Styela clava: one gene and its partners. The protein of the gene in region 1 binds, or shares a complex with, the protein of each later gene. Links are inferred from orthologs where the notes say so. Each region holds a gene or a part of one and is shown on either strand. Other genes may lie near its edges. The genes, in order: TBC1 domain family member 23-like, protein FAM91A1-like and syntaxin-16-like.

Region 1 (7,493 bases):
ACCAGCATTGTAAAGATCAGGAGATCGACAATCAACAAGAAAAAATCTGACTTGATTTGACTCACTGTAAAGTTAAATTTCACATTATGCAATAATGATTAATTGTTCGATAACTTGTATTGGATGGATATAGTCATAAAAGCACATTGAGATTTTTGAACTTCTGAATTGTAGTCTGAGAATTGTTCAATACCCTACTCCATTAAATTTAATGTGCAAATTTTTGGCAAACTTATGACAAATGAGTACAGGGATTCCAAATTTCTATATATGGAAAAAATATTTCCAAGGCTCCAAATTTTTGCACTATATTGTTTATACATCTGTGATCAAATAAAAATGGTAATACTTTAAAATTAAAATACAAACCTCCGTTCGTCGCTTGAAAAGTCAGGCTGTGCAGATAATAAAATATCTGGTACTGCAACTTGAATACACAATGACTGTGCTAATTCTCTTTCCACTCTTGTACTTTCTTTCGATCCTGACAAAGACATGGGTCCACTGAACAAAGCATCTTGATAACCCTTGCGCACAGATTGTGGAGTTTTGTCACTAAAATACATAGCTAACTGACAGAAGTCTTCCACATCCACAGTTTCAAGAGCAACAGGAAACTCTGTCAGTGCGTCGGCAATTTCATTCTTCTGCTTATCCAACATAGTGTTCATTACTTGTTCTTTGGCATTCACTAAAATGACAAGTGCCAGAAAAAACATGAAGAATGGATCTGCTCTTTGAAGATAAATATCCCATAAGGCGAGAGTGACAGGACGTTTACAATGGCTCGCGAATAGAGTTCGAAGCCAGGGTTTCATAAACATCTGCATTGTTAATTTGCGAGAATCGAGGAACGAACAGAGCTCCGGATCATGATAAAGAAGAATAAGTCGAAACAGATTATATGGGGCATCAGGAAGTGATTCACGGGGTATGTAACGGGCTAGCATTGCATAAAAGCAGTTGTACAAGTCAGCACGATCCAATTCCGGTAATTCCAACATTGGTTGTAACAAAAAGGTCCATGCATATTCAGTGTCGTATTTAATGGCACGACTTTTGCAGTAAAATGTGATTATCAATTCTAAATTTGCAAGTGCTTGTTCGGTATCCTCCGTTTTCGATTGATCAACAATTTTTTCGCATGCTTCATGTATCTGATTTTGTTCCGTTAGATCAAGCTTCCCATCCCAGCAATTCAACGCATTGCCACGACTTGCAATGTTGAGACAGATTTTCCATACCTCCGCCCTATAAAGTAATATACATTTTAAATTGGAGTACAACTTACTCATTTTCTATGTCAGGATTTCTCCAACTGGGCCATGGTACCATGTGCGATGTCTATATTCATTTTAAGTGCAAAAAAATTTAATGATTTATTTAAATCTTTGACCATAAAGCATTTATTATTTAACTTTCCTCTGTTGACTTTTTATTTTTAAACATAAAAAATAAAGTAACTGATGGTGTCTCATTGAAAACGGAACTGGGGTTTTCATCGAAGAACTGATGGATCGTTGAAACTTTTTGGATGTGAGACATGGATCATGAGAGTTTGAGGACCACTGGTCTATATGATATATAATGCCTAAAAACTTACTTACTTAAACTTAAAAACTTTATTTCAAAAAAATGAATAGGTTTTGTAACTAAATTATTTAAAAAGTTGGTGATAAAACATACTACATAGGGCAAAAAACTTTTCCTAACCATAATTAGTATCATAAATTTACTAAAAATTACTCATGTTAATGTTTGATATAAGAATTATTAGTTTTCAAATAAGCAAAGCTTTGTTACTAACGTTTAAGAAACATCTGATTCAGATTAAGCTGAAAATCAAGGATATTATGACTATAAAGGAAGAACTGATACGAAAATAACAAAAAAAATTGTCAGACATTTTAAACTATTTATAAGCACAGATTTGAAATCTGTAGTATATCAAAATAGCTTCAATTAATAATCAAGTACGCAACCTCCCAGCAACTAACACATTCATGTCTTATTTGAAAAATAATCTACTCAATGTCCACTTTCTCAAAACAGAACATTGCAATAAATCTGAAAAAAAAGGATAAAAGAACAAAAAAACTACCTATGAATTGGTGGCAAAATTCTGCACTTGCATATATTTCGTATTATGGTATGATCAACGAATCCCTCTAATAAAGCATCTTCAAGTTCGGCATGCCACGCATCATCAAAATCATCAACAAAGTCCTGAAATGGAACATAACAATAAAAATTATTTGAAAATGGATATTTTACAATTTGATCACAAATAAACAAACATTTAAATTTCTTCAGCATAACAAGGTTGTCTAATCTAGTCTTGTGTTTATGTGAAGCACAAAAAATGTTTTTGATTAAAAAGGAATGAATTTGTACCATACATCCATAAAAAACGATATTGCATTCTTATTTGATGTCGCTAAATATGATGATATGTTTATTCAATAGAATAATAATTATACAGAATAGTAAAGCATTCACGGCAACATGACCAGAAAGAAAAACAATTTCTAAAATCCAATCTCAGAATTCTATGTCATAGTTTCTTTGTAGGGACGCTTTTTTATAATTTTAGATTTCACTATTTAATCACATGTTTGTGCAGTTTGATTTCCATGTCCTTCAACACCAGAACACGCACACATGTCTGCATGTGCATGCCATGCCACATTGAACCGCTATACCTGGACTCAAAACTCTGACCAAACTACTAATATCCACAAAGCAAATTTCAACAGTCAGACAGAGGACCGTTTAGAGATTCAAAAGTCATATTAGTACAGTATTACTACGTTCAGAAGTTATATATATATTAATAAAATTGTTACCTCACTACATGCACTATCAGATACAATGTTCTCTTGTGAACTTTGTCCTACAAAATCAAAATTTTCGTCAGATAAAATCGCATCAATATCGTCCAAGTCATCAGCCATATCGAAGCATCATCACAAAGAAAATTCCGTAACCCAAAATTTCGCCCGCAGTTCTAAAGGTGAGCAGACAGCAAATGGTTCGATATTCCGTAATCGGTATCCTGCCGCGTCACTCAAAGAATGATCAAGTTTTTCATATCCGCGAGATGGTGACATTGAGCCACAAAATATTTTTCAAATTTATTTACAGAACAGCTGTTAGCAATTGACGGGGAAGTCCCAGTTTACGTTCGGGTGTGGTATTGCATATTATCATAAACTTCCAGTGTTTGTAAACAAAATATCTGTTCATGTGCATGTTTAAAGTCCTTGTACATTAGGAAACCTATACCGTATTACTTGGGATCAAGATTCATTCAGAGTTGAAATAATTGTGGGTTGCCCAAAAGCTCACTCAGGGGATTTCCTGGGGTTCGCTGCGTTTGTAGACAAGTGTTGAAACTCGATGATGTGTCGCATTGTTTTTGTTGCATGAATGGCGTCGTTAGGTTCGTCAAGGAGATTACAACGACAAGGATCTGTCCTGTTTGACAGCATGACCCAACTAGTACCTCCAGGTATATTTTTTTGAAATGATATGATGTGAGTGAATCATAGATAAGATTTGCTGGAAGTGGACAAAAACATAAAAATGCTAGTTTAAATTTTCTATGCCTGTTAAATTTTAGTCACATTTTGTAATACTCTTATTGTGTAAAGTACTGAAGCCTCGAAGTGTGTGCCTAATGAAATAATAAATTGAATAAGTAGATATTGAATTTTTCAGGAAACATTGTATTTCAAAGAATTTGTTCAGAGACAATTGTTGTTCTGATTTTTCCTATTAATTTCTTGTCTTGCCAATTTAATATCTGTATGTTGTTTTCAGGGCATGAAAAGCCACTCCGACAAGCTTTTTACACGGCAGCTGCCATATTGTTTACAGTTGCCGGTTGTGCTGCTGCAGTTTATGTTTATTTTGTCCTTGAAATTTTTATCACGCCATTGATATGGGCTGTACTATGTGGTAAGTTCATGTAGGTGGCAATTTTTTAACACATAAAATTTTATATACATGTATTAAAAAATGTTCCCAATTCCTCTTCATAACAAAGGTTTGGTCATTCATACATGGCAATGCGCATATTAAGCTTGTATCCCTCTTGCCTGGAGCATTGAAACAGATGCGACATACCATAAAGAAGTTGCTTTTACTAAAACGGCCACATTTTCTTTATGATTGGAAAAGTGCTTCTTGCTTAGATATGTTAGTCTTAGATGTATAGAATGAAATCAACCCACTTCTGAATGTTTATTTCAATTTCAATGATATTAATTCAGCTTAAGTTTGTACCTAATCAACTTTCGGTAAAATTTTATATTGAAAATAGTGCATCAGCTGATGGATGGTTTTGTAACATAAGCTTTTGAGCTGAAGTGTGGCTTTCCCCATCAAGTCCATCGTCCACGTATCTGGGACTAATCTCATACCTGACATGGACTGGTAACCGGACGAGAGGCCATTGTTTGCCATATTGTTAAGCCGTCTTATTAGCTCTCCTTTTCCCCCGGAATTATATAAATCCTATCCATTATTGCCTATCCATTATTAATATATTGTAATATATTTCCAGTTTTTCCAGCACATCAAAAATATACAAGTGTAGTATACGCAATGAAAAACTATCTTTCCATTATTTCAGGTTTCTTCTTATTCCCATTCAAATACTCGTTGAATTCTGCATTGGAGTCTTGGTTGAAAGCTCACGAGGAAAGTGGAAGACCATTACTCATAGGAGCTCTTCTCATTCCCATCAGTATATTTGATAATTTTGCAGAGAATCTGGGAAAATTTATTGTCAATCGATGGAAGGTACCTTTAATTATAAATCTCTCAATAGTTTGAAAAAGATTATCAATATTTTGCTAGTCATGCTCGTTTATTTCTGATTAATGTGATAATACAGAAGTTCTCTATTTTTATCTAGAATGTTTCAAATGGTTTTATCATATCAAAAATCAAAATTTGCCAAATTTGCCAAAAGTTTTCACTACAAAATTTGCCAATTTGCCAAAAGTTTTTACTACAATACAAATTAAACAAACAGTTCAATCAAAAATCAAATAAAAGCAGAGCTTAATAATAGTGACAAAGATGGATTCAAAGCTTATCTTGAGTCATGCCATGCCGAAATTAAGCGCTATTTAGTTATAACCGACTTGAGTTTATGAAGTCCATGGCAAGTCTAGTCATATTTCCTTGACTTGCGTGAGTTTTAATTAACTCAATTTCAAGCCTTTTAGCATATCATTGTGCAATTTGAACAAGTAAATGAGATCAACCCATTTTAATGAAATTGAACCTTATGCTCGACTTGTAGCCAATCCATGATTTAAGTCATGCGGGCAGCGTGCAATCTATTAATAGATTTGTTTATTAAACACAATTTCCTAATTGCCGAACATAAATTTCAAATATGTACTTATATATTATGTTGGGATTTTAATATTATGCCATACTTGATGGTCAAATAAACATTTACTTCAAGAATGACTGGCCTCATCCCATTCTAATGATATATTCACATTGTAAAATTGATTACGATTAATGGAAATAATTTACATCTATGCAATTTATTTTCAGATGCTGGTGGCCCTTGCAACAATTTTATCAGTTCTATATATTCTTCATTTGATTCAATTGCTTTATATATTTCAACTTGCCTTACTTGGTATATGGCATGCTATTGTACTTGTGTGGGACACAACTTCAGATTTTGTGGAATTTGTTGCTGAGTATAGACTCATTGTGAGTAACTCTTATTTTTACATTGTCTGTCCGTATGAACAAAATAAGTTGTTAAATTAACACATTTCATATGTTTTTCATCATTAAAATGAATATAAGATATAAGCAGAGATTGCCAAAACATTTAAAATTGTCTTTTTGTTCAACCAAGAATATTTCAGAAATCATTGTTCATTAATAGAAATTGAATTTGGTTCAGTTATACTATAAGGCTTCAATTATTCAGAATGAAGATTCCTCAAATAAATCTATCTTAACTATTTCCAAAATCTAAAATTTTTAAGTATCGAATATAATTAATCTGGATTCGATATGACCCTGGTTATAAGATAATATAGGAATAATTCAGAATTTTTTCAGCAATTCAATATTTTGATGAATTGGAAATGACTCGAATTTTGGCCTAATAAGATGGCAAAGTCAGCTGGTGTAGATAATATTTCAAAACTTACTTTGATGTTATATATGAAATTTAATAAAATTATTTGTCATGATATATTAATGTAGGAAGCTGATATCTCTCATCAAATGCAGATTAAAATATTCAGGTTACTTATCTAATCTATATTTTTTGGGAATAGATGTGAATGTTATTACAAATATATTCATTACAAACTTACCGGTAATAATAATAATTTACAAATTTAATATTATAGCTCATAACTGTAGTTGGAGGTTATACAGTCTCAGCACTAACACTTGATCCAGCATCTGTGAGATGGCTTCGCTATGCTGCTGTTCCTGCCTGGATCTCTTTTCTGATCTGTTTGGGTAAGATAATATTATTTGATTTAAAAAGTTGGTGCCTCTTTCGTATACAATCTCATTTACCGCTTAACATGATCCCAATCGCATAAGGACATTCTCAAAAAATTGATTTCCTATCCTTAACTAAAATCACTGAGATCACACAACAGCTGAGATTGCAAAAGTGTTCTTTAGACTAGTGGAAAGCAAAACTTTTATTTATAATGTTGGTGTGGCTCATTATGCTAAGCATTAGGAATACACTCACTACCGCACATCTGATTACTCTGTGTGGGTTTGAACCCCATGCGGGGATGGTTATGTGCGATGGGGCTCCTCGTCGCCGTAGGGTCCACCATCAAGTCCATGCTTCTGAAAACAAACAACGACTAATCCCATACCCAACATGGAATGGTCACCGGACGAAAGGCCGTGGTTCACCCTATGGTCAGGCCGTCTTATCGACTACCCCTCCCCCGGGATAAATATGTAAATCCTATCCTAATATGGGTAAATAAGAAATGGGCATACATACTCTCATAATGTAATGTTAGACATAACTTCATTTAAGTAATCTCAAATGAAATAAGGTTATTATATTATTGATATTGTAGTACAGTAATGTTCATATATTTTCTTCCTTCATATTACAGTCAGTGTAGCTGGACGAATGCAAGTTCCATTAGGAATTGCTCTTCTTGTTTTGGTGATAACTGGAGCAATTTCTGCAAGTAAACAAAACTCAGGTGAGAATGGTTCAGTATTGTGTATCGAAGTTAAAATGATTAATATTCAGCTGTACTCTCACTTCCTCTGAAACTCATTTAAGCAAATGAAAAATCGAAATTTCTCAACACTAAATAGAATCCAAATATAGGCTATTGTATTTTGGAATACACAACACAAAGGCTTGAATACACAAAGGCTTGAATATTTGAGCATGGAACGAATTATTTGACAACGGTATCTTTAAAGTTTATGATATTACAGGCATTTTGGTTATC
Region 2 (7,064 bases), on another chromosome or scaffold:
ATCTATCAGTTTATCAATGCACGTCTTCATTCTCGGAGTACAAAACTGAAAAGGAGAAGTTTGGTTTAATAAAAAGAAATTTGTTGCATGATTGAAAAAGATTTTGTGAGGTTTTATCTAACATGAAATATTACATATGGCTTGTTGAAAGGGCAGGTTGATCATATTTTGTTAAATAGACAGATTATAGGTATCACATCTTTGTTTACGCCTAGTACTAATACATTTAATATTCTCTAGAAAATATGTTAGGCGTTGTTGTTAGTTATCAACCCACTGCGAAAGCAAGGTCTGTCTGGCGGAAAAAATGGAAAACCCATCCAAAGAAACCTAAGTTGTGTTACTATCAAAAGGAATGCATTTGTAAATCAGGATTCAGGATCATCATAGATAATGGGTTCACACCACTCAAACTAATAATACTAATACACCACATACAAAGCGATTACAAATCAAAAACCTTGATATCGTCTTCAGTGATGAAACCCACATTCACCAACCACCATGGCTCTATGTTAGTCAAGACTGGAGTTTTTGGTAAAAATTCTCGGTATTGCGGCTTCCTTCGAAACGAGAACTTTTTATTCGAACGAGAATTGTTCATAAGGTCAATATATTGGTTTCTACCAATGCCAAGTAGCCGAAGGCCTAAATGAAATATATGAAAAATATAAAAATAAAAAGTTTCTTCAAACAAGGCTATAGGTAAGCAACAAACTAGATATATATAAAAATAGACATGATGTAAAAAACAAAAACCGAATTGATATCCCACGTTAAGAAATTCTCACGAAAAAATTCAATTAAAAAAATAATGGATAATAGTGAAATTGATCTCACAATCTGCAGCTGTAAAATTCGGAAGAGAATCATAACTTCTTTCTTCTTTCATTATTTCTTCCATCATTGATATATAATAGGAAAACGCAGTCATTCGAAGTCCAATCATTCTTTCTGAAAACGGTGATTACACAGCAAATTAATTAAAGTTATTTGGATTTGAAACTTAAAGTACACTATCCAACCGACCAAATATTTACATCTGAAAATTTTAGGAAAAATCATGCATTGTCTATAAACTATGAAAAATGAAGATATTGAAAACAAGGTGGAATGGACCTTTCCCCGAGCATCGACTTCCTTGATTACTTCGTGACATTGGCCAATTCTAAGCAAAGCAAGATGCAAAAAGTGACGTAACAATGCCCCCTTTTCGCATCCGCTCAGACACTTTTCTCACTCAGACAGATTTTCAAGCGTGATTGTAAACATTACCTCGTTTTCACTTTTTGAACTCTATTCGTTAGTTTTTAGTTGTGTTTTGGGAACTTAAATAAAAATCAGATAATTCAATGATCACTTTGTCTTTCTAGGAGTTTTAATTTAATTGCAGTAATAAAAATCAGTGTAGAAATAGCTGTGATAGACTAGCCTGAAATTCTTTACCGGTACTTTTAAAAAACAGATTGTTGTATGCGATGAATCATAATGATGGTTTGAAACACATACCCCATTTTACAGACGCCAACTCGCAAAAGCAGTCTTAAAATAGCCTTGACAATTTTGCAATGGTAAAGTATAGGGAGAATTTTCCGAGGGTCAAAGGTCGGGGAAAGGTCCATAATTGTGATAAAGAAAAGAGATCAACTTAGGAATGATTTTAAATCAAATCACAATAAATATAGACTTGGTCAATAATTTCAGTTCATTAACAGAATAAATTGAAATGTCACCAGCTATGTCAATATACATACTTAAATACAAATTTCATATTTTCTCCGGAAGAGAGGAAACCAGATAAGGTGGCTTGATTACATGACAAACTATGACCTCTTGTCCAACTACTAGAACAAATTGGATATCAGAATAGTTAGCCAATTATTTGTTACACATCCATGGACTTGATGATGAAGGATACTATATCTCAACCTTTTTGCCACAGAACACCTGTACTTTTTATCTCGCCTTGCGAAACACCACGAAATTAGAATGTAAAATTCATGAGTCATTTCGATTCCCGTTCCGTGGAATGCTTTGAAAAAGCTCGCAGAACAGCAGTATTCTGAGGAAATCGCTGCACTAGAACACATTTTTTCCCACATGATTCAAACCAGCGAACCCATGCAGGGTTATCAGAGGTGCAATAGCATGCAATGTCAAACCAAATTATTTCATTTCTCACATGTTAATTCAACAACACATAAATTATAAATCACAAAATAGTAAAAACTACCTTGTAAGTGATAAGGATACAACATTAAATTTTTCTTGCTATAATCGAGAAGTCGTTCATAATAAGCTTTCTCATTTTTAATCACATGACGAACAGTTGAACCACGATATCGAACTTGGTTTCGAATTGCATAATTTAATAACGATCGATTGTATTCTTCTTCTGAATTTCCACATGCCTAAAACAAAATCATGTGGTATGATTGAAGCAACTTTATGGCATAACAATTTCTAAATTATGGTATGAAGTTTGCTAAAATAGGACTGTATTTAGGTATTGCTATGCTTTTATTCACAAATGAGGGTAAATCATTTTTTTAATAATTGTGAATTATAGCTAAGTAGCGAAAAAAGCTGATTTTCTCATTGTGTTTTCTTCAAAAAATTTTGGATTCAATTAGATAATTCAACAATTTTAGACCAAAAAGGTTAACCTAATATTTTCATATTGTTACCTATTGTTTTATGATATTGGTCTTAATGAGTTATACATATCAGCATATCCCAACAAGTTCAATATACTAAAATTAAAAAAGTATAGGTGCATAGAGCAATTCAGCAACTAGACAGCAAAATACACTCACCATTTTAACCCTTTCAGGCAGTTTTGACCAAACATATCCATCCTTAATATGCTTTTCAACATCCTTATTCATTTCGAAACTTCAGTAACATAAACCTTCATTTATAACAAACTTAAAATGTAAACAAAAACTCGGAAGAAACACTAACAAACGTCAGAACGTAGGGTTGCTACGGTTGTGACTTTCCTCAGCATTATCAATAGTATGCAGATAGGTTAGGTATTCACTGCCAATAGAACGTTTTATGTTTAGTAGCTTATGTTAAAACGTTTCATCTCTAATCAGTTAATGTGCAGGCAATTTTATCTTTTATTTTAAACAATCAGAATTTGAGGTAAAGGAGCCATATTTTGCAAATAATAATTCTTCAGCGCCACCTTGTGAATTCCAGAATTGCAACATTGGACATCACGTCACGTGATCTTCCTTTTCGACTAGAAGACCACGATGGCGGCGGTTCGTGTAATTTTTATGTGAATAAAACGAATTTGTAATTCAATGTATTGGATCTTTGAATCAATTTTTACGTGTAAATTTTCAAGTAAAATAGTTATGAATTATCTCTATGCGCAGTTATTTGGCGAGAAGTAGACTAGAAATTCATGATACTGTGATAGGGATGATTTTTAGCTTTGCTGTGTTATTTCACATCTGCGTAGACAAAACTGCCATAATGCAGCAATGGGAGTATTTATCTGATAACTGCCTACTGCAGTCTGATGGTACTTGACTTTAAATTTTATTGCTTAAATCAATAAATACTGAAATAATTGATTTTTCTGAAATTTGTTGACTTGTCATTTCTATGTAATAAAGTCATGGTATCCCACGAATTGAAAGGAAATGTAGCTTTAAGTCGTTGAAGGTGTTTTTTAATGTTAAATTGGGTGTGATTGTTTATGACATATTTCCACTCATTGATGCTTATAAAAATCAACATATGGCTGTATGTAAAGTATGGTGTGGTAAAATACACTCTAGAATTGAATAATTCACTGAATTGAGAAAGTTCTCACATTACAGCATTATTAGTCGGTTCATTATAATTATCACGCTCTGACAACTTAATACAGTAATAAACGAAATCGACATCTTTTGGGTTGAACCAATATAGCCAATCAACTGACTGACTGACAATTAGTTTCAGCCAACAAATCACCATTGCTATGATTCAGCGTAAAAACACATTTAAGTTGCAAATCGGAATTAAAGCACACTTTAACACATGGGTTGTTTCATTTTTTGTACTGTATTTTGTACATTTCAAATCAGCAACCGATTCTCAAACTCCCAATTAGAAACGCTGAAAAAGAGTATTTGAATTTATGTTGTTATATTACTTGATGAAATAATTAGGAAATTGTAGGAATACATGGGTATTTACAGTGTCTCTGGTCAGTGGCGTAGCAAGACTCTCGTGGGCCCCCCCCGCAAAAATATTTCGTGAAAATGACCCTGGAAACTCTCGGACATAAGCTAAAACAACACTTTTTTTTATTTTGCCAAAAAGCGTAACATGTCGCTATAAAAAGACAATGGTAACCTAAAATTTGCCGTTTATTTTGGTTACTTATTTTTTTCATACGTTCCTCTTCTGCCCTTTTTCTGGGTTTCTGTGCGCCACTGAGAGGTTTTGCTTTCGACATTCTGACAGCCTTCGTAATTTTGCCGGTGCGATCAGACGACAAGACGCCGAAAAATTGACGACTTCCTGGCATTGCTACGTAACAAAACGATTTGAGCAGAACTAACATCAATGTTATAAGATGTGCATTACTTGTTTTGCACTGCAGCTTTTGGTTTGCAGCTTAAATTTCTAAATTCTAACAGTTTGGGCCTCTTTGCGCTGTGGGTGCGACCGCGGGGGTGGATGCTACACCACTGTCTCTGGTAATACGGGAGCCTGAGTGACTTTTTTTATGTTTCACTGTTCTGCATCTTTATTGACTTTGTATTTTTTTGACCAAACTTGACTATAAATTTGCTTTTTCTGTGCCTTACATATCTGGCTTGAATTCAATTGAAACCAGCCTACAGAATGACACATTGATTCTTTTCATTCAGGCACAAAAGAGACAAGGTGCAGCTGTTAAAGGCAAGAGCAAGAAAAAGAAGACTCAATTAAAATTCACTCTTGATTGCACGCACCCCGTCGAAGATGGAATCATGGATGTCGGCAACTTTGTAAGTTACTTAATTAATCAAAGTTAATGTAGGCTAAAAACCCAATGCACTGTTTTATGTTTTTCGTATTTTTCCTTAATTAACATCTTAATTAGTTTTGTGTCTGTACTCAACGTAAGGGCTAGGGTCGCCTTCCCTAGACCTTTACTTATGCTTTATGTCACAGGAAAACTTTTTGAAAGAAAGAGTAAAAGTTAACGGCAAAACTAATAATCTTGGAAATCAAGTAGTGATTGAACTTAATAAGACGAAGATCAATATCACGAGCGACATCCCTTTCTCAAAAAGGTATATTTGTATTTGCTATGTTCATTTTTATCACTCAACATATATAGGCCTATATATAGAGGGCCAAAATTGAATATTACTTTTGAATACAGAAATTAAATTTGCACCTTTTTTTGAAATATTTGTACATCCATAAATTAAAACTAGTTATAAAAGTTGAATTTTTTTTAGATATTTGAAGTACCTCACTAAGAAATACTTGAAGAAAAATAACCTTCGTGATTGGTTGAGAGTCATTGCTGCTACGAAAGACTCTTATGAACTGAGGTATGTGTTATTATTATGAAATGTAGAAAACAAAATTGCCGACCTCTTAGTTTGGCAACTTTTTTGAGTTTTAAACTCGGCTTATACGCGAGAATATACGGTACTTCTACGACACATCTGCAGATCTAATCCTGGGTGGAAATATAAGTCCTCCTTTTAAACCCAGATCAGTCATTCTCTTACAAAGAACTGCAGGCTGTTTAGAAAAGGACTCTCATTCCGAGTCCTGTTGTTTTGTAATTGCATCTCCCACTTTACATTTTTTTTTAGTTTTCTTATTGGTGAAATCTTCTTTTCAGATATTTCCAGATCAACCAAGACGAAGAAGAGGAGGAAGAAGAAGATTAAATATTATTTTCTTCTCCAATTTGACTTTATTAATAAAGTCATTTATAGGTCATTGCTTGTTCTTTATGTATTTGTGTTATGGAATGGGGTAGATTTCAAGCAGAAGAGAAGCAAGTTTAGTTTTTTGGTTTCAGATATAGTGCGAAAGTCTTTTGCCACTCTGAAAACTTGTTCTATGCCCACGGTTGCATTATTGAAGGTTACTGGTTAATTTGTTGGGATTGTTTAATGCTATCCTGTATGACTGAGGAGGGTTAAAGCGAGACCTGGGTGGCCACAAACTTCTATATTAAATGGCTGTGGAAATGCCATTGCTGCAGACACCCGTCAGGAATAATATCTGCGTTGTGGGCATGTGAATCGTATCTTAACCTAGAATATTGATTCAAATCAACTCTTCATATGATCCCCAAACTACATTTCATACAACAAGGACTCTTCAGCTATTGGCATTTGATGTGTAATCTGAACTCTAGAATATATCATACTTAAGCTCAGAGGCAGAGCTGATTAAGCATGAGTTCAGGCACCACAGAAACTCTTCGTACCTCAAGAGTTTAATGAACAGAGCCCAGTTGAAATTTTTCCTTGTCATGTAAATCTCTATGAATGTCTGTCGACGTAAGAACTAAAATATCCTGAAAGTTAATCTGATCTGATCGGTAATGAATACTGAAACTTAATTCAATTTCGAATAACATGGAACACACTAGTCTCATTATTATTTTCGGGGCCTCTTGAAGACGTGATCTGGCCCTGATCAGAGGTTCATATATTAGTAACAACCCTGAAGTAACTAATATTACCTTATAATAAGTTTACAAACTTATTCAAATAATTTTGCTTTATTAGAAAAATTATTAAAATTAGCATTTGAAATTTTTATATCCATGCTACCGAAGATAAACACTTGGTAGCACGTTCCTTTAATCATTGAAGCACAAAACTGAAGAATTAATATTATATAACATGGAACAAAAAAAAATCATGCTGTAAAAAAATCAGGAATTTTAAAAGTGAATGAATGGTATTGGTAACAATTGACTCAAGAATATGACAAGGGAAGAACAACTGTGGTCCATCCTTGGCTGAACTTTAAACTGGGTATAAGCACCAGCACTAATTATTATTGTACATTTTCAGTGGATTGAAGACTTCTCT
Region 3 (7,409 bases), on another chromosome or scaffold:
AAATGATGAAAATACACATATAAAATAACTTTGTGCCCAAAATATGGGAAAACGAAGGACAGAAAATAAGAATTACACGATGGAAAATATCCTCATACCCAATTTTTCAAGTTGGCAAAAAGAAAAAAAGACAAATATCAAGACTCATTTTTCGACAGATCTTATACATTTTCTATGCATACAAATGGGACTTGGGACTTCAGTCAGTTTTCAGAATCCAAGCTACTATAGTACTATTCCACCTTGTAATTTTCATGTTCTATTCATCTCTTTTGGTATTTACCAATACCCATATTCAATGGCTTCAAATATATAACACATGGCATAACACTCATTGTTTGGACGAGTATGCAATTTCTCATTTTGTTGTAGTTGAATTATGTCTGACCTTGGTCCGACAAAACGTTACAAAAAATATATTTACTGTATGTTAGTGTGCAGCGACCAGCAAAGCTCTTGAATTACTTAGGAACCATTAAAAATTTAATTTTTCAAGTATAAAAATAAGACACGACACAAACATGAAGTAGAACTAAAGCAATGTAAATTATACCTATTGACTAGCAGGTCAGAGTTAAACAATAAATTAGTAACCTTGAAGCAAAAATAATTTTAAACTAAAGCCCATTTTGCCCACCAAAGATGAGTGAACTAATAAGCATTATACTAATGACACAAATAAATCAAAACTTCAGTGCAATTCTGACTCTGTTCCCAGTGGGAATCATTGAAGCAGGACTGACCAGAATTTTCTCAACCTGAAGTAAAAGTACAAATTCTGCTGTTTTCAAATTTTCTATTCTAGGGTTAGGTTGAGGTGAAGTCATAATGAAGTTAAATAGACCTCCTCAAGACATCACGGCTCTACAACTTTAAATTAATATAACACAACTGATAAAGTGGGTAAAATTAGCAAGAAATATAGTTATTTAAAAAATAAATGTACAATAATATTTAGAACTAAGTTGTAAATTTTACTGGAATTCCTGGCACATAAAAAAAACTAGCAGTGCATTAACAATGTTAATATAAAACAAAAAACTATAGTCAGGTCATACAGTGTTATTTAGCCAGACGTTTGATCGGTTGATGAAATTCCGCGTATTATCATGGTAAATAAGATTTCTTGCCATTTTAGGTTTCTGCTTTCTGATCCAATGATCCATATCCACCGAATAAAATGTATAGAATATGCCAAACTGGAATGATTTTAGTACATACAAACGCGATAGACCCTTGTCTCTAGGTGGATCTGCATAAGTGAATATAAAACCATAGAAAGTCTGTATAATCATTATAAACAGCTCTATTTCCGTACAGAAAATCATAACATCAGTACATAACCCATGGTGGCAGTTTCATGTTTATTCTTGATATTATGTTACCACTTGTTCATGATTATTTAGGTTCAGAGCAATGCACGATTTGAAGAATTTCCTGGCCCTGAAATTCACTTTTTACTATGTTTTAAAAGCACAGCAGCTGACATGCTATCAGCCAGTAGTGATACAGACCAAATAAGCATGTGCAAATACAAACAATATGGGAGACACGCTACAATCTGAATCTGTAGAGTCATTTGAAAAAATGAAAAGGACATCACATTTTTATGTGATTTTTAAGAATTCCGCTCCAAACAAGGCTCCACATAAGCAGAGGCTGATTTACACTTCAGTAATGCTTACCCGATTTATTTCAACCAGGGTGAAGTGAAGCCGAGTTAAATCATTTTATAATTACAAAATAGTATTCAGATTTTAGGATCAGTGGGCAAATGAAATTTGATGAAAATGAGTGATAAAAGACCAACACCATGGATGAATAATACCAGCATTTAATATGGTATGATAAGTACTACCTTATGATACATCAAGTGCAGAGTTAGAATAACTCACACACACACACATCTATCAAAGTCATTGCACATTTGCTTACATCACACAACTAGTTAACTAAATAGTAGAATACATCACATATTTAAAATAGATATGAATAAAAAATCAACCCTTTTTTATAATTAAGATAATTAGCATTATTGCCGTTATAATTGATAGTACAAAGATAACATAAAGTTTTTTGTTTTTCTTTTGGTATTTCTCCGCTTTTTGTAATTGTTTTACTCCTTCGTCCGTTTTCATAACAGAGTTTTCAACATTATAATCAATTCTGTCAAGAACAGTTCCTTGCTCCACTACAATGTTACTCAAATCTCTAAATATTTCCGCCAAATCTGAGATACTTTGAACGACCTTTTGAATTTCTTCTTCACGTTCTTCAATGATACGACTATTCGTTTCAACAAGAGCAGATTGCGTTGTAGAAAACCCTCGTTCAAATGTTTCATCATCGATATCCATTTCACTGTGTTCGACCATAATCGCATTATCAGAGTCAAAAAAATGTCTCGACCTATCTTCTCTTGCTTTCAACTTTTTCAAATAAGAAGATTGACTGTGTCGAAAATCATTTGATACATTTTGTAATGAAGAAGCCATAGCCGAAACAACATTTTTTGACATCAATTTCTCATGCTTGGAAGCTTTTTTTGAAAGGTTAGACAGAATTTTAACGCTCTGATTGCAGCTGTAAAATAAATGTGTTATTTCTTGAGTCAAGATTTCAATAGTTTGTTCTTCTTCAACATCATCATCTAACGTTGGACGATTAAGATGTTTGTGATGGTGAGCTGATAATTCTTCCATTTTTAATTTGATTTGGCTGATTCCTTCTTTGATTTCTTCGACTGTCGATAACCATCTTGGTGGAAGACTTTTCAACTGCATTGAATTTTGTCCTTTTCGATTAGATATCAAAGAGACTTCGTCATTTTCATCTGCATCGTACTCAACATCTTGTCGTTGCCAAAACATATGACGATTTTGTAGCGCATTATTGCGCATGAGTATAAATGCGTCAGTGAGAGATCTCGTCAACATTATGATATGTAGACTACTAGGCTATATTACGGTAATTAATATAAAAATATGATAAATTAAGAGTAAAAATCGTTCAGACTGTTTGATGCTTTCACCTATTCGCTCTTAAGTTAGCTGATGGTGTTTTTTATTTCATATTTTTGTAAGAAAAGCACTGTTATGATACACATACCACAGTCATGCATTCCATCCTATCAATTCTAGAAACGTCCTTTTAATCGTATTTTATTTAGTTACACTTTACAGCATAGCGTTTGACTGGAGGTTATCATTTCATATATCATTTTCATCAAAAACAGCCATACAAGAATGCAATCAGCAAGCCCTCAAGTCTATGCATGCCACTTTCTCACATACATCTGTACATAGTTCATTTTCTCGTGATTTACATTTGTTATGTGATAAAATTTCACTGAACAATCAATATCTTCTGTAATCACCACATAAGAACCGCAGCCACAATTTTTTTTGTTAATTTTTTAATTCTAGTTTGTATAAAGTGTTTCCATGATCTTCTTTTGATCAGTGTCTCACATTTTAAAATTGATTCAAAAGGTACCGTATTGCCCGATTTTGCATGTGTCTTTATTTTATTGTGTTCTTTTGACTGTTTTTGGTGGACGGGCACGTAGACTACTTGTACGCTTTTAACTTTTTTATTAAGTTATACCCGTCCTCCAGGTCCTCTGCATTTTGTTTGTCCGTTTGTTGTAGTTTTGTTTCTTTCAGAGTGACCAAAATAAGATTGATTGATATTAACATTCATACTTCTGTATTTAGTGTCGAGAAATTGAAATAAGCATATGAACATTTTACGTTGTGTAAATAAAAATACTCAGCATTGAAAATAAACAACAGAAATCATTTATTAAAAGCCAACTTAAAATCGTCCCCATCAGACTGCTTCTGGCCTGTCGTACAACCGTACTGCATACTCTTGTTACCAATACCGGTACCACAACAACCTAACTTAAAAATCATAATAAAACAAATTCCGAAATACCTTCACAAGTCAAATAGAAAATATCGTCAAGTCAGCTGCTTGCACTTAACAGGTCACAAGCGTAGATGAACGGCGACGATTACCCAGGCAGTGGCAGGAGTCTGAAAGCAGCTACATCTCCCACATCGCGCAATGAATAGGCACACATAGAAATTGGCTAGTTTGGGTGAGCGAGCAAAACGTCCATATACAGAGCACATAATGTTATAGTAATATCAACGACTAACATACCGAGTAATTTATATACAAAATAGGTTATTACAGTGTTAAGTTTAGGAGCGACACACGCCCACTCACCCACCAGCTAAATTTTAGTGTGTTTAGTGTTTATCTTTTGAATAGGGATCATTATTTTATCCTGGCGGAGAAGGATATCCCGCGAGACGGCTTAATCAGGGACATTATGTAATGGCTCTGGCTTAATCATAAGGCGTACCACGGTCTCTCGCCCGGTTACCAGTCAACGTTGACCAGTTGTTTACAAATGCGCGGACTCATTTTATGCAAAGTGGATCGTTTAATGAGCAAAAGCTCTCTGTAGTTGCATGCCGCGTGATTTTTCATATTACATACATTGTTAGACCAGGGGTTCTCAAACTTTTGGTGTTACGGAGCCCCTGAAGAGGATGACTATTATTCACGGAGCCCCACAATAAATTTTAAAATTGTTACTTACCAATTAGGCAATTAATATTCCTTAGTTGGTTAAAATTATTTTACTCAATTTCAATGACTAACCTTTTAATAGGGTTAATACCAGCCATGAATAAATCTAAATTTCACAGATAAATTATATATATTAAGGCTGTAAATTTGACACTGAACAAACATATTAATAAATTCGGGGTCGAACCTCCCTTCTGATATTTTTGAAGACTGAAAAATCGCTAATAACGTGCGCGATTGCATCTTGATAAAATCGCCGATTATTTTCGTCGGTTTGATATGTTTTTTAGTCCGTAAACATTTGCACGTCGGTGTTTATTCTCCTTCAATCACAAATTTTCATCGGCATATGCATAAATTGTTCCACGAGGAAGACGATAATTGCTTTTTGTTCTGGTGTGGAATTATGAGTTCAGTGCGGTATCTAGTCGTTGGTTCAGTGTGAAAAACAAGTTAGTATATTATATATCATCGGCGACGATATGCTAAGAATAATTAATAAAGGGGTGTATACGCAACCCAAATTTCTTGAATGAAAAGCGGCATTATAAAATATTAAAACTAAAACTTAAAACAGATAACACCATAAGTTTTGTTTTAGCGGACTCGTGACAAATGGACATTTTTCCGACCTTTGACACCGGAAAAATTCTTCCTATACTTTACCATTGCAGAATTTTCGGGGCTAACTTAAGAGTGCTTTTGCGAGTTGGCGACTGTAAAATGAGGTATGTGTTTCAAATTATCATTATGATTCATCGCATACAACAATCTGTTTTTTTAAAAGTACCGGTAAATTTTTTTAGCCTAGTCTATCATAGCTATTTCTACAGGTGACCGACCATACATTTGAACCCACGTACATTTGAACCCATGTGTATATCCACGGGTTTAATCTATATGTGGGTGCTAAAACCCATGGGTTAGGGTTAGTATGGGTTCAACTATCCGAAAAACAAAAAAAATTTCATAGGTGCAATAGCATACAGGTGCAATTGTCATGGGTTCAAATGTACGTGGGTTCAAATGCAATGGAACCATTTCTACACTAATTTTTGGTGACCGTACATTTGAACCCACGTACATTTGAACCCATGCGTATATCCACGGGTTCAACCTATATGCCGGTGCTAAAACCCATGGGTTAGGGTAGTATGGGTTTAACTATTCGTGAAACAAAAAAAATTTCATTGGTGCAATAGCATACAGGTGCAATTGTCATGGGTTCAAATGTACGTGGGTTCAAATGTAATGGAACCCTAATTTTTTATTACTGCAATTAAAGTAAAACCCCTAAGAAGACAGATTGAATTACCTGATTTATATTTGAGCTTCCGAAACACAACTGAAAACTAACGAATAGAGTTCAAGAACGCGAAAACGAGGTAATGTTTACGACCACGCTTGAAAATCTGTCAGAGTGAGAAATGTGTCTGAGCGGATGCGAAAAGGGAGCATTGTTACGTCACTTTTTGCATCTTCCAGATTGGCCAATGTCACGAAGTAAACAAGGAAGTCGATGCTCGGGGAAAGGTCTATTGAAAAAGCTTTTTAAGACAATGTTAATAACAAAATTTGGTGTTATTTTAGGTTTTCTTTGGAAATTATACGGTATTAACAGAAATCGAAACATAGTTAATTGGGCACCGACTTAGCCGCATGCGACTTTTTCTCGATATGTGACGATATATAAGATAATTAATGTAAAGTATTTCAATCAATTTTTTATTGCAATAAAATAAATTTTAATCATCCGTATTTTGTGATTTTTCAAACGGTGATATATATCTTTGAAAGAATCTGAGTGACAGACATGCGATAGGGAGTCAGCGTTATAGGAACGACTCAAATTTGTCGAGTTCGCTAAATTGCTGTAATCTGCCATACAATCAGTCATGATTATGCTTTACATTACTTCTAATATCTTACGACAACAGCGTCATCCAGGTTATGCGGCAACTTTGATTCTCATTCCATGTCCGCGGATGCCGCGGTGATTCTGAGCAGTGATGATTTTATGTTGTCGTAAGTCGACGCAATCGCAGGTTACATTGAACACAATTAAGCCAAAAAACACGGCATTTTAAACATGCCCCCATCGGTCAGGGATTGCGCAATTGTGAGTTGTACTCATGGAGGTTTTAACGCCGACCTTGAGATTTTATCTTGCTTAAAAATAATCTTCAGTGCTGAAAGATCAAATCCAATTTGACGAATCCCAAGATCGTAAAAATACGATTTCCATCTATTTATAATTGGTACTTGGCAGTTGAGAACGTTTTTTATGTTATTTTAGAATAGTAATCTTTCATTTTATTAGTAATCGTAATATAGACGTAAAAACGAGTAGCGATGAACACAATTAAATTATCGTGCTCGCGTCGGCTATAGATTGAATATTTTACGCAACAGAAAACTCGTTATCTGCTGAAAAAGTCTTTTTTAACGAGTGGCCTAATCGCGAAGAATGTTGCGCGAGAATTTCCGATTCCAATTTTGAACACCCACCACCTCTCTTTTAAAATCCTGGCTCGCTCCTGCTTGTAGATAATGTCATATTTGAATTACCGCTTTGCGATATTTCGACGCTACTGTTGTCACATTTTATTAATGCCGTTATTGCGTCTTTGGACAGTAGCCCGCGGAGCATTAGGTTTCTCTCACGGAGCCCTGGGGCTTCGTACGGAGCACTTTGAGAGCTTTGTACGACCTCACTTGAAAAACGTTTTGTTTAGTTTTATTGCTTTATCTGACAGATTTCTTATACACAGCATTGGTCAGGAGCCTCGGTGACCGAACCGGTC

The links.
Region 2: the proteins of TBC1 domain family member 23-like (region 1) and protein FAM91A1-like are in contact, whole or in part, in a crystal structure (PDB 8JJ9), measured with the Homo sapiens proteins. The link is inferred for Styela clava from reciprocal best matches to the Homo sapiens genes TBC1D23 and FAM91A1. Residues at the interface, in NP_001186127.1 of Homo sapiens: Arg533, His534, Val535, Ser536, Ser537, Asp539, Val541, Gly542, Lys543, Pro544, Tyr545, Arg546, Val548, Pro550, Val551, Phe552; in NP_659400.3 of Homo sapiens: Arg49, Glu60, Arg61, Tyr64, Asp84, Ile85, Lys88, Gly89, Leu90, Arg91, Ile92, Thr93, Phe95, Ser96, Ile159, Pro161, Tyr176, Ile177, Thr178, Glu179, Asp181, Ile182, Lys190, Asp194, Ile197, Asp198, Tyr216, Asn217, Lys218, Gly219.
Region 3: the proteins of TBC1 domain family member 23-like (region 1) and syntaxin-16-like are in contact, whole or in part, in a crystal structure (PDB 8QQF), measured with the Homo sapiens proteins. The link is inferred for Styela clava from reciprocal best matches to the Homo sapiens genes TBC1D23 and STX16. Residues at the interface, in NP_001186127.1 of Homo sapiens: Leu638, Asn639, Ser640, Val641, Val642, Lys643, Ile644, Thr645, Ser646, Lys647, Lys648, Ser661, Ser662, Ala663, Ile666, Thr683, Lys687, Ile690, Met691; in NP_001001433.1 of Homo sapiens: Asp209, Asp210, Asn211, Thr212, Leu213, Tyr214, His215, Arg216, Phe218, Thr219, Glu220.

Annotation. Positions count from the first base shown.
Region 1 is NC_135252.1:15,043,361-15,050,853, forward strand, and holds the start of TBC1 domain family member 23-like, read right to left. Parts: upstream 3,049-7,493; 5' UTR 2,955-3,048; coding exon 2,847-2,954; intron 2,227-2,846; coding exon 2,102-2,226; intron 1,252-2,101; coding exon 370-1,251; intron 65-369; coding exon 1-64. Other genes in the region: transmembrane protein 245-like, read left to right, coding at 3,430-3,511, 3,823-3,960, 4,637-4,806, 5,578-5,742, 6,399-6,513, 7,143-7,235. UniProt on the Homo sapiens protein: Putative Rab GTPase-activating protein which plays a role in vesicular trafficking. Involved in endosome-to-Golgi trafficking.
Region 2 is NC_135264.1:10,396,087-10,403,150, forward strand, and holds the start of protein FAM91A1-like, read right to left. Parts: upstream 3,101-7,064; 5' UTR 2,889-3,100; coding exon 2,817-2,888; intron 2,412-2,816; coding exon 2,234-2,411; intron 955-2,233; coding exon 841-954; intron 649-840; coding exon 461-648; intron 46-460; coding exon 1-45. Other genes in the region: large ribosomal subunit protein eL22-like, read left to right, coding at 3,264-3,272, 4,881-5,000, 5,167-5,288, 5,460-5,555, 5,855-5,903. UniProt on the Homo sapiens protein: As component of the WDR11 complex acts together with TBC1D23 to facilitate the golgin-mediated capture of vesicles generated using AP-1.
Region 3 is NC_135251.1:18,717,790-18,725,198, forward strand, and holds the start of syntaxin-16-like, read right to left. Parts: upstream 3,007-7,409; 5' UTR 2,937-3,006; coding exon 2,001-2,936; 3' UTR 1-2,000. UniProt on the Homo sapiens protein: SNARE involved in vesicular transport from the late endosomes to the trans-Golgi network.